Bombyx mori: one gene and its partners. Each later gene encodes a partner of the first gene's protein in a complex. Links are inferred from orthologs where the notes say so. Each region holds a gene or a part of one and is shown on either strand. Other genes may lie near its edges.

The links.
Region 2: iron-sulfur cluster assembly scaffold protein IscU (region 1) and frataxin homolog, mitochondrial share a complex: the UniProt entries of both Drosophila melanogaster proteins name them as parts of the mitochondrial core iron-sulfur cluster (ISC) assembly complex. The link is inferred for Bombyx mori from reciprocal best matches to the Drosophila melanogaster genes IscU and fh.
Region 3: iron-sulfur cluster assembly scaffold protein IscU (region 1) and LYR motif-containing protein 4 share a complex: the UniProt entries of both Drosophila melanogaster proteins name them as parts of the mitochondrial core iron-sulfur cluster (ISC) assembly complex. The link is inferred for Bombyx mori from reciprocal best matches to the Drosophila melanogaster genes IscU and bcn92.

What each region holds. Positions count from the first base shown.
Region 1 is NC_085129.1:12,109,259-12,113,018, reverse strand, and holds the start of iron-sulfur cluster assembly scaffold protein IscU, read right to left. Parts: upstream 2,397-3,760; 5' UTR 2,283-2,396; coding exon 2,190-2,282; intron 1,342-2,189; coding exon 961-1,341; 3' UTR 1-960. UniProt on the Drosophila melanogaster protein: Scaffold protein for the de novo synthesis of iron-sulfur (Fe-S) clusters within mitochondria, which is required for maturation of both mitochondrial and cytoplasmic [2Fe-2S] and [4Fe-4S] proteins.
Region 2 is NC_085115.1:238,341-242,100, forward strand, and holds frataxin homolog, mitochondrial, read left to right. Parts: upstream 1-1,539; 5' UTR 1,540-1,639; coding exon 1,640-1,921; intron 1,922-2,980; coding exon 2,981-3,229; 3' UTR 3,230-3,372; downstream 3,373-3,760. Other genes in the region: carbonic anhydrase 1, read left to right, coding at 1-93; uncharacterized protein LOC134199323, read left to right, coding at 3,397-3,471. UniProt on the Drosophila melanogaster protein: Promotes the biosynthesis of heme as well as the assembly and repair of iron-sulfur clusters by delivering Fe(2+) to proteins involved in these pathways.
Region 3 is NC_085108.1:8,216,955-8,220,624, forward strand, and holds LYR motif-containing protein 4, read right to left. Parts: upstream 2,938-3,670; 5' UTR 2,703-2,937; coding exon 2,614-2,702; intron 1,576-2,613; coding exon 1,455-1,575; intron 529-1,454; coding exon 472-528; 3' UTR 391-471; downstream 1-390. UniProt on the Drosophila melanogaster protein: Stabilizing factor of the core iron-sulfur cluster (ISC) assembly complex that regulates the stability and cysteine desulfurase activity of Nfs1 and participates in the [2Fe-2S] clusters assembly on the scaffolding protein IscU.

The DNA of each region.
Region 1 (3,760 bases):
TTGTATAACATAAATGCTGGTGGGAGCCAAAATGTTCTCCCGGACAACCCCTCTTTTCAGCGCCTCCTATTCGAAAATATAATTATGATAATTGAACAATTACAGTATGTATAAGAGTCGCACAATTTTATTAGTTATTATACTTATTATATCACATTATTGCATGAATAAACAAAATAACTTAAATCTAAAGCCGCCATTTTCTCCTGCAATATAGTAGAACGCAAGTTATTTTATATTAATTTTCATTTGGAGGAATATCTGTCCGCAATAAATTGGCAGAAAATTAAACGAAATAAAAGCATATATAGATCTACTGAGGGTGCATGCATCGTAAAACACTAAAGAAATAATGAAACTGAAACTCATGTATTTGCTTAACATATTTTTCAATTCGAAGAGTCGAACTAATTTTCTCAAAAGTTATAAAAAAATTATTAATTGACATCCTAAGCAAAAACTATACTTAAAATTAGAAAAAAAAAACTGTTTTGCCCGAGGTCAAATTTTCATCTGCAATGTGGCCCGACTATCAAAATATTTGCCCACCCCTGCTATAGTGTCCAGTATACTAATCATAAATCAACCACAGAGTGAAGGCACAAGTACAATGGTCCTAATTCAATGGTTCATATTCATTAAAATTATTATGCCACCGTGACCGTAGATAGTATTTTGCTTAATTTGTATCTGGACCAGAATATTTTCTGTGTTACACTAACTTTTCCTTAGCATTTTTTATTGCTGAGATGGATCAATAAGCTTACATGCCACCTGTTATTAAGTAATTACCAAATCCATAGTTATTCCAATAATGCATTTTAAAATTCAGTATGGTAAAATATGATGCTTTATTTAATCACAGACAATAGCTTCATGTGTGTGGTATCAAATTAAAGTACTTAGTGTCTGTAATTCATATGAAAAGAACTTAAAAAATTTGGTAAATGTTCTGACTCTTTACAGTTCCAGTAAAAAAAGTTTTGTACATATCATTACTATGTTGATAAATTGCAGTTTAACAATTAAAAACTTACTAGAGCAATGAAGCTTGACTGGTGGTAAGGACAGCTCTTTAGCAATATCTGTGTTCTTCAATTTTAGTGCCTCATCAACTGTTTTTCCTTTAACCCATTCAGTGGCAAGAGAGCTTGAAGCTATAGCTGAACCACATCCAAAAGTTTTAAATTTGGCATCAACGATTTTTCCATTCTCGTCCACTTTGATTTGCAACTTCATTACGTCTCCACATGCAGGTGCACCAACGAGGCCTGTACCTACATTTTTATCTTTCTTATCCAATGAACCAACATTGCGAGGATTCTCGTAATGGTCAATGACCTGTAAGATAAAGTATACTCTTATTATACATACTAATTTTATAAATCTGAAACTGTAATTGTTTGTTTGTTTGTCCCTTTGGTTAGATAGCAATGAATTCACATTTTCTTGAAATCGGCAATTCTAAATCCCTTAGTTAGTATAATAATATTTTGACTAGCTCAGTGAAACAGTTGCTGGCACTCTTTTTCCACTAGGGCGAAGATATTGCATAACTTAAATTCTCACATTAGACAATTACTTGAAATCTCAATCCTTAATAGTACTTAGGATGTATCCTTCTTCTTACCTATATGGTTGTAATGAAAGTGTATTTTATTTGTAGTTGAAAATTTTATGGTGAAAAATTTGTAGGTGATGAGATGACACTACAAACATACATGTAGAAAAAAAGGTAGTGGATATTTCCATCTAAGTATTATTTTTATTTAAGTAATTTACTATTAAAGTTGATTCAAATAATAAATTTTCGATCGAATGTACATTCTGGATTGTTCGACAAAAACTTGACACTCGTGAGGCTTATTTTATTATTTAAACAGCTTAAAGAGCTTGTTATAAATCTTAAGAGAAAATGAAATTATAAATGTATACTTTCCAAAATTTATACAATTTTCGATTGCATGTTGCAAGAAATGTCTAAATTTCGAAAATAATTTCTAATCGAGAATGGTTCCGGGAGTTTATTTTAAAAGACTCTTAATTAATTATTAACATTTTAATCGGCCGACCATTAGCTCCTACTCGCTTTTTCTGATGGTCAAGGTTTTTGCCAAAATTACGTCGCAAAGTAGAAAATCGATAATCCTTGACATTGGCAAATATTTTTGATGCATATAGGTACTTACGTTTGCATGATAAGGTGCCGCAAGAATCACATTAGGACTTCCAAAGCCTTTAAGACACATACATCGACGAATTCCGTTGATTAAAAAAGCCATTTTATATATTTCAGAAAAACAAATTCAGATGATAAACGTTCTTATATTTTAGACGACGTAGTCATAGATTATACACTTATTATATTTGGACGTAGTTTCAAGTTTTCAAGTATATAGTACTATATAGTTGGGTTTTTTTTAAAGGGATTTTGTGACCTGGTAACTAAGACCTTTAAGTCATGTCTTATTTTAATTTAAATATATTCATATTTTTATAAAAAATGATATTATGGAGTGAAATGAAATGAAGATGATTAATTTGAGACATTAATAAACTGGGATGAAATTAAATGAGATGATTTGGGATGAAATATAATCTCAGTAAAATGGTGGTCATTTACTGAGATTTTTTCAGTGGACTTTTTGGAGGATCCCGAGAAGTTACGTTCAGTGGCTTTGTTTCATTTCCCCACATTTGTGCACTTTCACAAATATTAAACGATTAATAAACCACCGTTATTACACATTTAAACCTGAAGAAACACTAAATAGACAAAATTAATAAAAAAAAATCATACAACTTCACTCCTCGCGTTCCCGCCAAAAAAGACCAATAATAGGTACCGTAAAATGGGGCGATTAGGGATCGAGAGGTGATTGGGGAAAAAAACAGGAAAATCTTTCGACGCGCAATACTAGTTTTTTAATCGTTGCAAAATCTTCCATTTTTTGTAGTGTAATAGTAGAATGTTGAAAGTTCACAAAACAACTCTGAATATGCATGATAATAACTTATAAAAAATCGTGTTTCAAATTAACTTTCTGTGGTGGTAATTATTTTAGTGCTAGAAACTTTGTTCTCTTTTATTTATTTTAAAATAATAGAAGAGGACTGTGATTTATAAACGCAAATTAGTGTTTGAACCATCATATATAAAATAAATAAATAAATAAATATTTACTAATAATCACGCCACGTTAACTGGTCCCGTGATAAGTTCGTAAAGAACTTGTGTTACAGGTACCAGATAACGGAAATAAATGTAAGATTTTGATTATACACATACATATATTTAATATACAACCATAACCCTGGAAAAGACATTTATATTTATCATATAATAATCTTCCCTTGGCGGGATTCGAACCCGCGACCACCTTGTGTAGTGACCATGTCACTTACCACTACACCAGACGGCCGTTATATTAAAGGTAAGTCTCAGTTGTTATTGGTATTAATGTATTTGATAAAATAAAAATACATGTAAAAATCTGTTGTTTTTGGGGATATTGGGGACGTCTCAGGTACAAATAACAACGAAAAAGGGGTCGATTGGGATGAGAATATGTGAAATGGAAACGACCTAAGTATAAATAGGTACAGGTTTCTAGGGTTGTCTATGTAATTATAACAATATTTTTTTTAATTGTTGGTAAGAATCTGGTTTATTCATGATGTTTTTGTCTACAACTTTTATTCAAAATTATCAATGCAGTGTTATTTTATTATGTGGCAAATATTTATATTATCAGTTACG
Region 2 (3,760 bases), on another chromosome or scaffold:
TCACCTGCCTATGAAAACAATTTAAGTTTGCTTCCACCACAAAATGCCTATATGCTACCAGAAGAATCTAAAGAATGTGAAGAAAAGCTGTAGTTGCTGGAGCTATGTACTTGTATTGCAACCTAATCTAAGCCATATTATGTATAAGTTTCTGTTGTACCTATGAAGACGACAAAAAAACAAGAACTGGATATCGGGCGCGCAATTACCTACGAAATATAGGAAAATGGCAGCTATAATCGGAGACGCTAAAGGTAATAACGCAAATACGTTAAGGTACTGGTGACAGGGCAAAGTAGCGTGAGTAGTTGTGAGTAAACACGGGTACCACCACCCTGCCTGTTTCTGCCGTGCAGCAAACTGCGTTTCGGTTTGAAGGGTGGGGCAGCCGTTGCCCTGTAAAAACGAAGTCAGTCTCATATCTCGAGGTAGGTCACGGCATTTACGTTGTAAGTGTCTATGAGCCCCGGTAAACACTTAACACGAGGTGGGCCGTGAGCTCGTCCACTCATCTTAGCGATAAAGTTTTTTTCCAAAACAAGAAGTTATATTTCGGTTGCGTAATTCGATTATCTAACAACTCAAAATTCACAAAATATAAATATATTTTTTATTTAAATATTTATTGCAGAAGTGTCGTCCGGCGGTGTCATTCGCCAAAGCTGACGGTAGTGCATGCTGTAACATTCTGGTCCAGCGAGATATTTCGGGACACCAGCAGCAACGCCTGATGCGGCCTGAATGACTGCCGCACCGGAACGGCTGACATAGTGTCGTCGACTATCATCTCTACCCCTTCTACTCTGTCCGAGTTTTGAACCCCTATATAGATCGGACGTCGGGTGAGAGAGTTCCAGGGAGGTCGTTTGGTGGATAGGGCCCCATAAACATCCTTGATCTCATGGTCTACTCCTAAAATCTGCAGACCGTGAAATCCCATATGCCCCACGCATCCCCTAGGGGCAGACACCTCGTATGAGGTTTGGCACCCTGTCCGAAAAGTCGAGTTCATATTGGACTCATAAGCTATTTATCACAAGGTAGGCAGTGAGCTCGTTCAACCACCTAATCATAAAGAATAAAGAATATTTATAATTTTAATCACACATACATATTGTTGATATATATATTATTATATACTCTTGATACACCCTCTTTAGAATCAAATAAATTAGGTGCTGTATCAGCATGTTCATCTAAGCATGCAAAGGCAATAAATTAAAAGATACATGACGTTTAATTTTGTTTATTTTATAGGTTATTGACTTTACAAGAATTATGGAATAATTTTCACGCATATTAGTGACTTTTGATTGTTCGAAATACCCTAAATATATAATATATGTCTTAATGTGTATTAAGAGCAGAACAAAGATTTGCCTGAAATTTCAACCATTGCAATATTTTGTCGTCTTTTTTGAAATGCAAAATCATATTATCGATCAAGATAATTATTAAAAGGCAACGATTTTAAATCGTTAAATCGAGTATACTATTAGAAGTTTCCCTTTGCGAATGATACAAAAAGTCAAGGCTGACAATGACAAACGAGACGTCACATTGACAATATTAAGTCAACAAACTTTAACCTCCTGAAGAATGCATATCAAAATAATATTACGGAGTAGAATTTAACGTAATGATTAGGAATATAATACGTACCGGCCGGTGGCTGGTGCGGCTGCAAATCAATAGTCTCGCCCCCATCGCGATACGAAAAAGCAGTAGTATACTAAAAGACTTCAGACTGAATGTTAGTTGTGGTTTTAATAACCGAAGATTATCTGATAATATCCGCAATGAAGAGGAACCTCTAGTATTTGAAGAGGCTTGCAACGAGACCTTAGAGTCGCTGTGTGATTTTTTTGAGCAGTTAATCGAAGATGCACCGAATTTGAAAGGAGCTGACGTAACATACAGCGTAAGTTAAATTTTCAATGTGGGTAACTACATACTTAACCACTTCTTACTTAATAATTTCTTTAAAGTGGACATTATAAAACCTTTTGCAAAAACTTTAGTTGTGAGAGAAACTGAATCCAATAATAAAAGGTGGAATTGAATGAAACAAATGCTTAAGTTAACATAAAATTTAATATTTAAAGTATGCTCTTCCTAAATTCCAGTTGTAACTTAAAATATTCTTTTCAAAGCGTAATGTTACTACACCATATTAACAGTCAATAATTTAAAAGAGTAACCTTATTTTCTTATTACATGTAATTTTCTGTGCGCACAAAGATTAAAGTATTTGAAACATAAAGAGTAAAGTAAAATAAACTAAATAAATACTGTTCTATACTGTTAAAACAGTTTAATTAATATTAAATATTAAAAACGGATAAAGTCTGTCTATATTTTTTATGGTCATCTTATCTGGTTATAAGAGTAGAACAGTAACAATTCTGATAGCATTTGAGACATAGACTTTTTTTTTGTATGCAGATAGGCATGTGGCCCACCTGATGGTGAGTGGTTACCATCGCTTATGGAAGTCAGCAATGCCAGAAGTAGAGCCAAGCTGCTGCCTACCATTATCTACCCTCCACAAGCCTCGTTTGAATAAGGATATGTTGTAGGGCTTGGGAAACACCGTGGAGTAAAGCTCATTCGAAAGCCGGATGGTACCTGGCAAAAAAGATCTCAGGAAACGCATTGTGGATGAATGCAGTGGGTCTACATCTCAAGGAATGTATTTTGTGGGATTTAATTAACATTTAATAACTGGATTGACTGTCAACTTGTCTACTACTCTAGAGCAAAAAGCAAAAAGAGGCAAAATTACATTCCAACAACATATCTTGTTGTAAGATATGCTTGCTATGTTCAATGTGACAGTTTTAAAGATTTGTCTTTAAAACAGTACAGTACAGTCTGGGCAAACCCAGACTGATAATGATAATGAGTAATGATAATATAAAAGCCCTAAACATTTCTGCCTCTTAATTCTTTCTTAGAAATAAAATAATCCATGTTTCAGGATGGTGTATTAACCATATCATTAGGAAAGCACGGGACATATGTGATAAACCGGCAGATACCAAATAAACAGATTTGGTTGAGCTCCCCCACGTCTGGACCAAAGCGCTATGACTTAGTTCTCGAGGGAGGAGGCTACTGGATCTACAAACACGATGGAGTCACACTCCACAAACTCCTGCAACAAGAAATATCAGTGATAGTTAAAGATAAAGTTGATTTATCAAAGTGCTCACACAGCTTAGTTTGAAGTTCATAAGAAATAAGAACATAGTGTGTATACTTTAGCATAAGCTTTGCTTTAGTTTCAAACATTAACTGAGGCAATCTCCTTAGATTTGGTTTGATTTCAGTTTTTATTTTATTTTAAATATACAGTTGTTTTTTTTATTATTGATTTTTTTATTTTATTTGATAATGGAAGTTATTGAGGATGGAAATATTATTGATAGGATCCCAATTTTGTTGCAAAGAGATTTGGAGTATTATCAGGTTGGTTTATCCAAAGTTTTTATTCAAATTAATAATAACATAACATTAATAATAACGTAATCAAAATTTCATAATAAAAAGCTAACTCAATTTTATGTACTAAATACTACTCAAATGGGTAAATGTCTTATTTATACACATATAAAATACTAAAATAATGACTACATCAACAGGCTTAGCTTTTTATCTGATTTCAAAATTGGTTCAAAATTTATTTAGGTTAATGTTAGTCAAGCTGCAGCTGTCTGCTTATAAATAAGTATTAAATTTCCAAAAAAATCAGAATTTA
Region 3 (3,670 bases), on another chromosome or scaffold:
CACCCTTCAAACCGCAACACATGGTTGCTTCAATTCAGAAATAGGCAATGTGGAACTGACGTTACTCCTTATCATCAGTAAATGCCATTACTGGCCATTCTCTGCTAAACTCTTTAGTACCTTATATACGGACCTCGGAAAGAGTCTAATTTATAATAACTGCAAGTCAACATCAGCACACAGCCTATTTCCAGTATTTCCAAAAAAGTTAGATTATCATCTTTAATTATCACACCTTCTCCCATTCGATTAGGTTAAATTATTTTATGATGCATACCTGTGTATATGCATACCACATATACATTTAATTGTACTTTTAGTAACAAAACCAATTATAATTATTTAAATGAAAGTTCTGAGACCCCTACAGATTTAATTTGAATAAAAAACTCTGCATTATACTATTTATTAGTCAAATGTACATTATACATTACAGATGTTTCATAATAATATACAATTATAAACATGAAGCTACCGCAGATTTTCGATAACAAGTTTTTCTGTTTTATACATATTTCCAATGGCTGCCTGTAAAACAAGATGATTTCATATATGAATTAATCACAATAGTTTAACCTTTTAGTGCAGTTAGATCAGAGGTGGGGTGTAGTGGTAGTTTTCCAATTACAGAGCATAATGCGACTCAGTGACGCACAATGCCAAATTATGCTGAAGCTTAATTGGAACGTGAATTAGTTTTGAAATGCATCAGCAGAGTGCGCTAAGTTAGCACAGTCTTAATTAACATTGATTATTTCTAAGAAACTACGACGAAACGAAAGCCTTACAATTTTTTTCAACATTAAATAATATTACTAACGATAATATAAACAAAATTTCGATCAATGCCAACTTAAAGAAAAAACACTTGTCAATTTTCTGTCACTGAGTCGGTATCGATTGCGAGTATCACGCGAGAGCAGTACTTTTGAGAGTGCTCAATTGTGCTTCGAGTTGCTGCAGTTGGAACATTCAACGTTGAGCATTATGCCGCATAATGAGCTCTTGTGCTGTAATTGGAAAACTACCAGAGTGAGCCTGAATAGATTGGTACCATAATCTCTCCCAGCTCTCTCAGCTCAGCTCGGCAACCACATTTTCTTATTTGAATGAGAAAAAGATCAGTTGTTTAATATTTTGATCAAATCAACATTTCAAACCCATCACAGTAGGGATGAAGTATACTTTATTTTCATTAATAGAAATTTTAGAAAATTGGTTCTCCTTTCCTGCTCCTGAAGACCAACACTGCAAAATGCACTGCAATAAGACTAAGGACAAATTGTAAAAAGCAAAAGGTGGCAGATTTCCCATTGTAATGTTTATAGACTACCGTTACCACTTAACTGATGTGATATAAAGGAAACCAAGATATAAATATAATACTTTTCTAAATAAAATATAAGCTAATTATCACATGTGTTTGATAACATAAATGAAACATATTCACACACCTGTCTCCTGATAACATTTAAATTTTCTTTTCCAAATTCAAACTCTTTCTTCACAATCTTAACATCAGACACATTTTTATTATCTTTAAAAGCATCTCGAATTCTTCTTAGTGCGTATGCTCTGAAAGGATGAATGGTTAAAATTTAGCATTTTTTGATAAATTGTTGATTAATTAATTCATAATTTATTGAGGCTTTGAAAATCTCGTTCATTTTAATTACTGTAACTCTGATGCTGTAGTTATTAATTGAGGCTGATTTTTTTATTTAATTATCTAATTAAGTTTGCTTAAAATGTGTCTTGTCCGCCTAAAAAACTAAAATAACAATTTAAATGCATGAAAATGATAATCATTTATAGCATCATCATCAGTCTACATAATTTTACTGGACATAGGCCATCCTCAAGCTTCACCACAGTGACTGATCCTAAGCTGTTCAAATCTGACAGATTCTCACAACTTCAACATACTGTGGGTCTACCTTCTGGAAGGATTACTTGTACTACAGATTTTGGTGTAGAGTTGCAATAGTGACCATTTTTTCTATGAGCTATATGCCCCTCACAGTGCTAATTTAAACTCGTTGATTACTTATCATAATGAGTAATTAATATTAATGAAGTGCATTAATATCACATTCATCATTCCATTTACCTGACTCATTTCAATTATTATCCAAATAATTGATTCCAAACAAGCTTGATAATTTTTGATTGCGTTGAAATTCATTTTTTTCGCTTTTTTTTTATAGCAAGGGTGGACGAGCTCACAGCCCACCTGGTGTTAAGTGGTTACCGGAGCACATAGACATCAACAATGTAAAGGCCGCCACCCACCTTGAGATATAAAGTCTAAGGTCTCAGTATAGTTACAATGGCTGCCCCAGCCCCTTCAAACCGAAACGCATTACTGATTCATGGCAGAAATAGGCGGAGTGGTGGTACCTACCCGTGCGGACTCTGAAGACGTCCTACCACCAGTAAATACATTTACTTAAGCCTAATAGAATTTGGTAGCCACATATCATGACAAAATTAAAAATGTATTGACTTTGTTTGTAATTTAAGAAGGTAACAAAATTATGCTTTTGTGTTCACTAGTAACGTTGGAGTAAATCTTTCATTTGTTTTAGGTTATATAATGGTGCAAAACATTACCTGAAATTATAGTTAGGGAACTTCTGGGATTCTCTGAGAAGCAATTTATAGAGAGATAATATTTGTATTTTAGGTATCGCGCCAGACATTTCGCTTTATTATTCGACAAGCTTATTAAAAACTATAATATATTGATAAAAGGTAATACCCAATGATATTTGTCTTACGAATTGTTATGACCAGTTATGACATTACACTCCAGTTTTTTTATGTAAACAAAAATTAGACGTTCCGTATTACACGGTGTTAAACCTTTATTTGTTATAAAATAAATTTATCGTGCAAAACTTTTGAATTGTGATAATAAATGTAAAAGAAGGTAAATTCGTAAGTTTCGCGTCTGGGTAGAAGTTTCAATTCGACTTTGATTATTAGTCACAATTTACACTAGTAAGGATGTAAATTTAAGTAGCCTTTGTCTAGCTACACTACAGGATACCGAAAAGTGTACATTGTCAATTTGGTCTAACGTCAGTAACATCTGATTTGACATTCCCGATGTTTTAATAACATTTGCGATCTGATAATTACAAATTCAAATATTGTTATGCTCGTCAGCCGTCATTCTAAGACATATATAGGTACTTACTAAATTAAACAGTGAGTTAAAAGTTTGATGAAATTTAAATTATTTTAACCAAATTATCCAAAGGAAACAAACAACAAAAGTACTTTGTTTACAAGACTAGCGAAGAAAATTGTCATATTTTTGTCAAAGAAGTTAGGATTTCTAGACCATTTTTAAAAATTCACTTGCCTGCACATTTTGTTGTGTAACTTAGCGGAAGATGATTACTAAACATGTTTTGTATGTAAATCACTTAATATGTGTTATGTCAAGTTATGAAAGTTAGCAAAGGAATACAATTTACATACCATGTAACACAAATATTACATACCATGAAATGCCTAATATTAACTTTAATTTTTAAAAACAATTTTCAAAACTAAAAAGAAATAAAGAGACTATTTCGCTTGGTCATTGAAATAATTATCAGGTTAAAATCTAAAATTCTAAACAGATACTATAATAATAAAAAACAAATTAATGATGAAA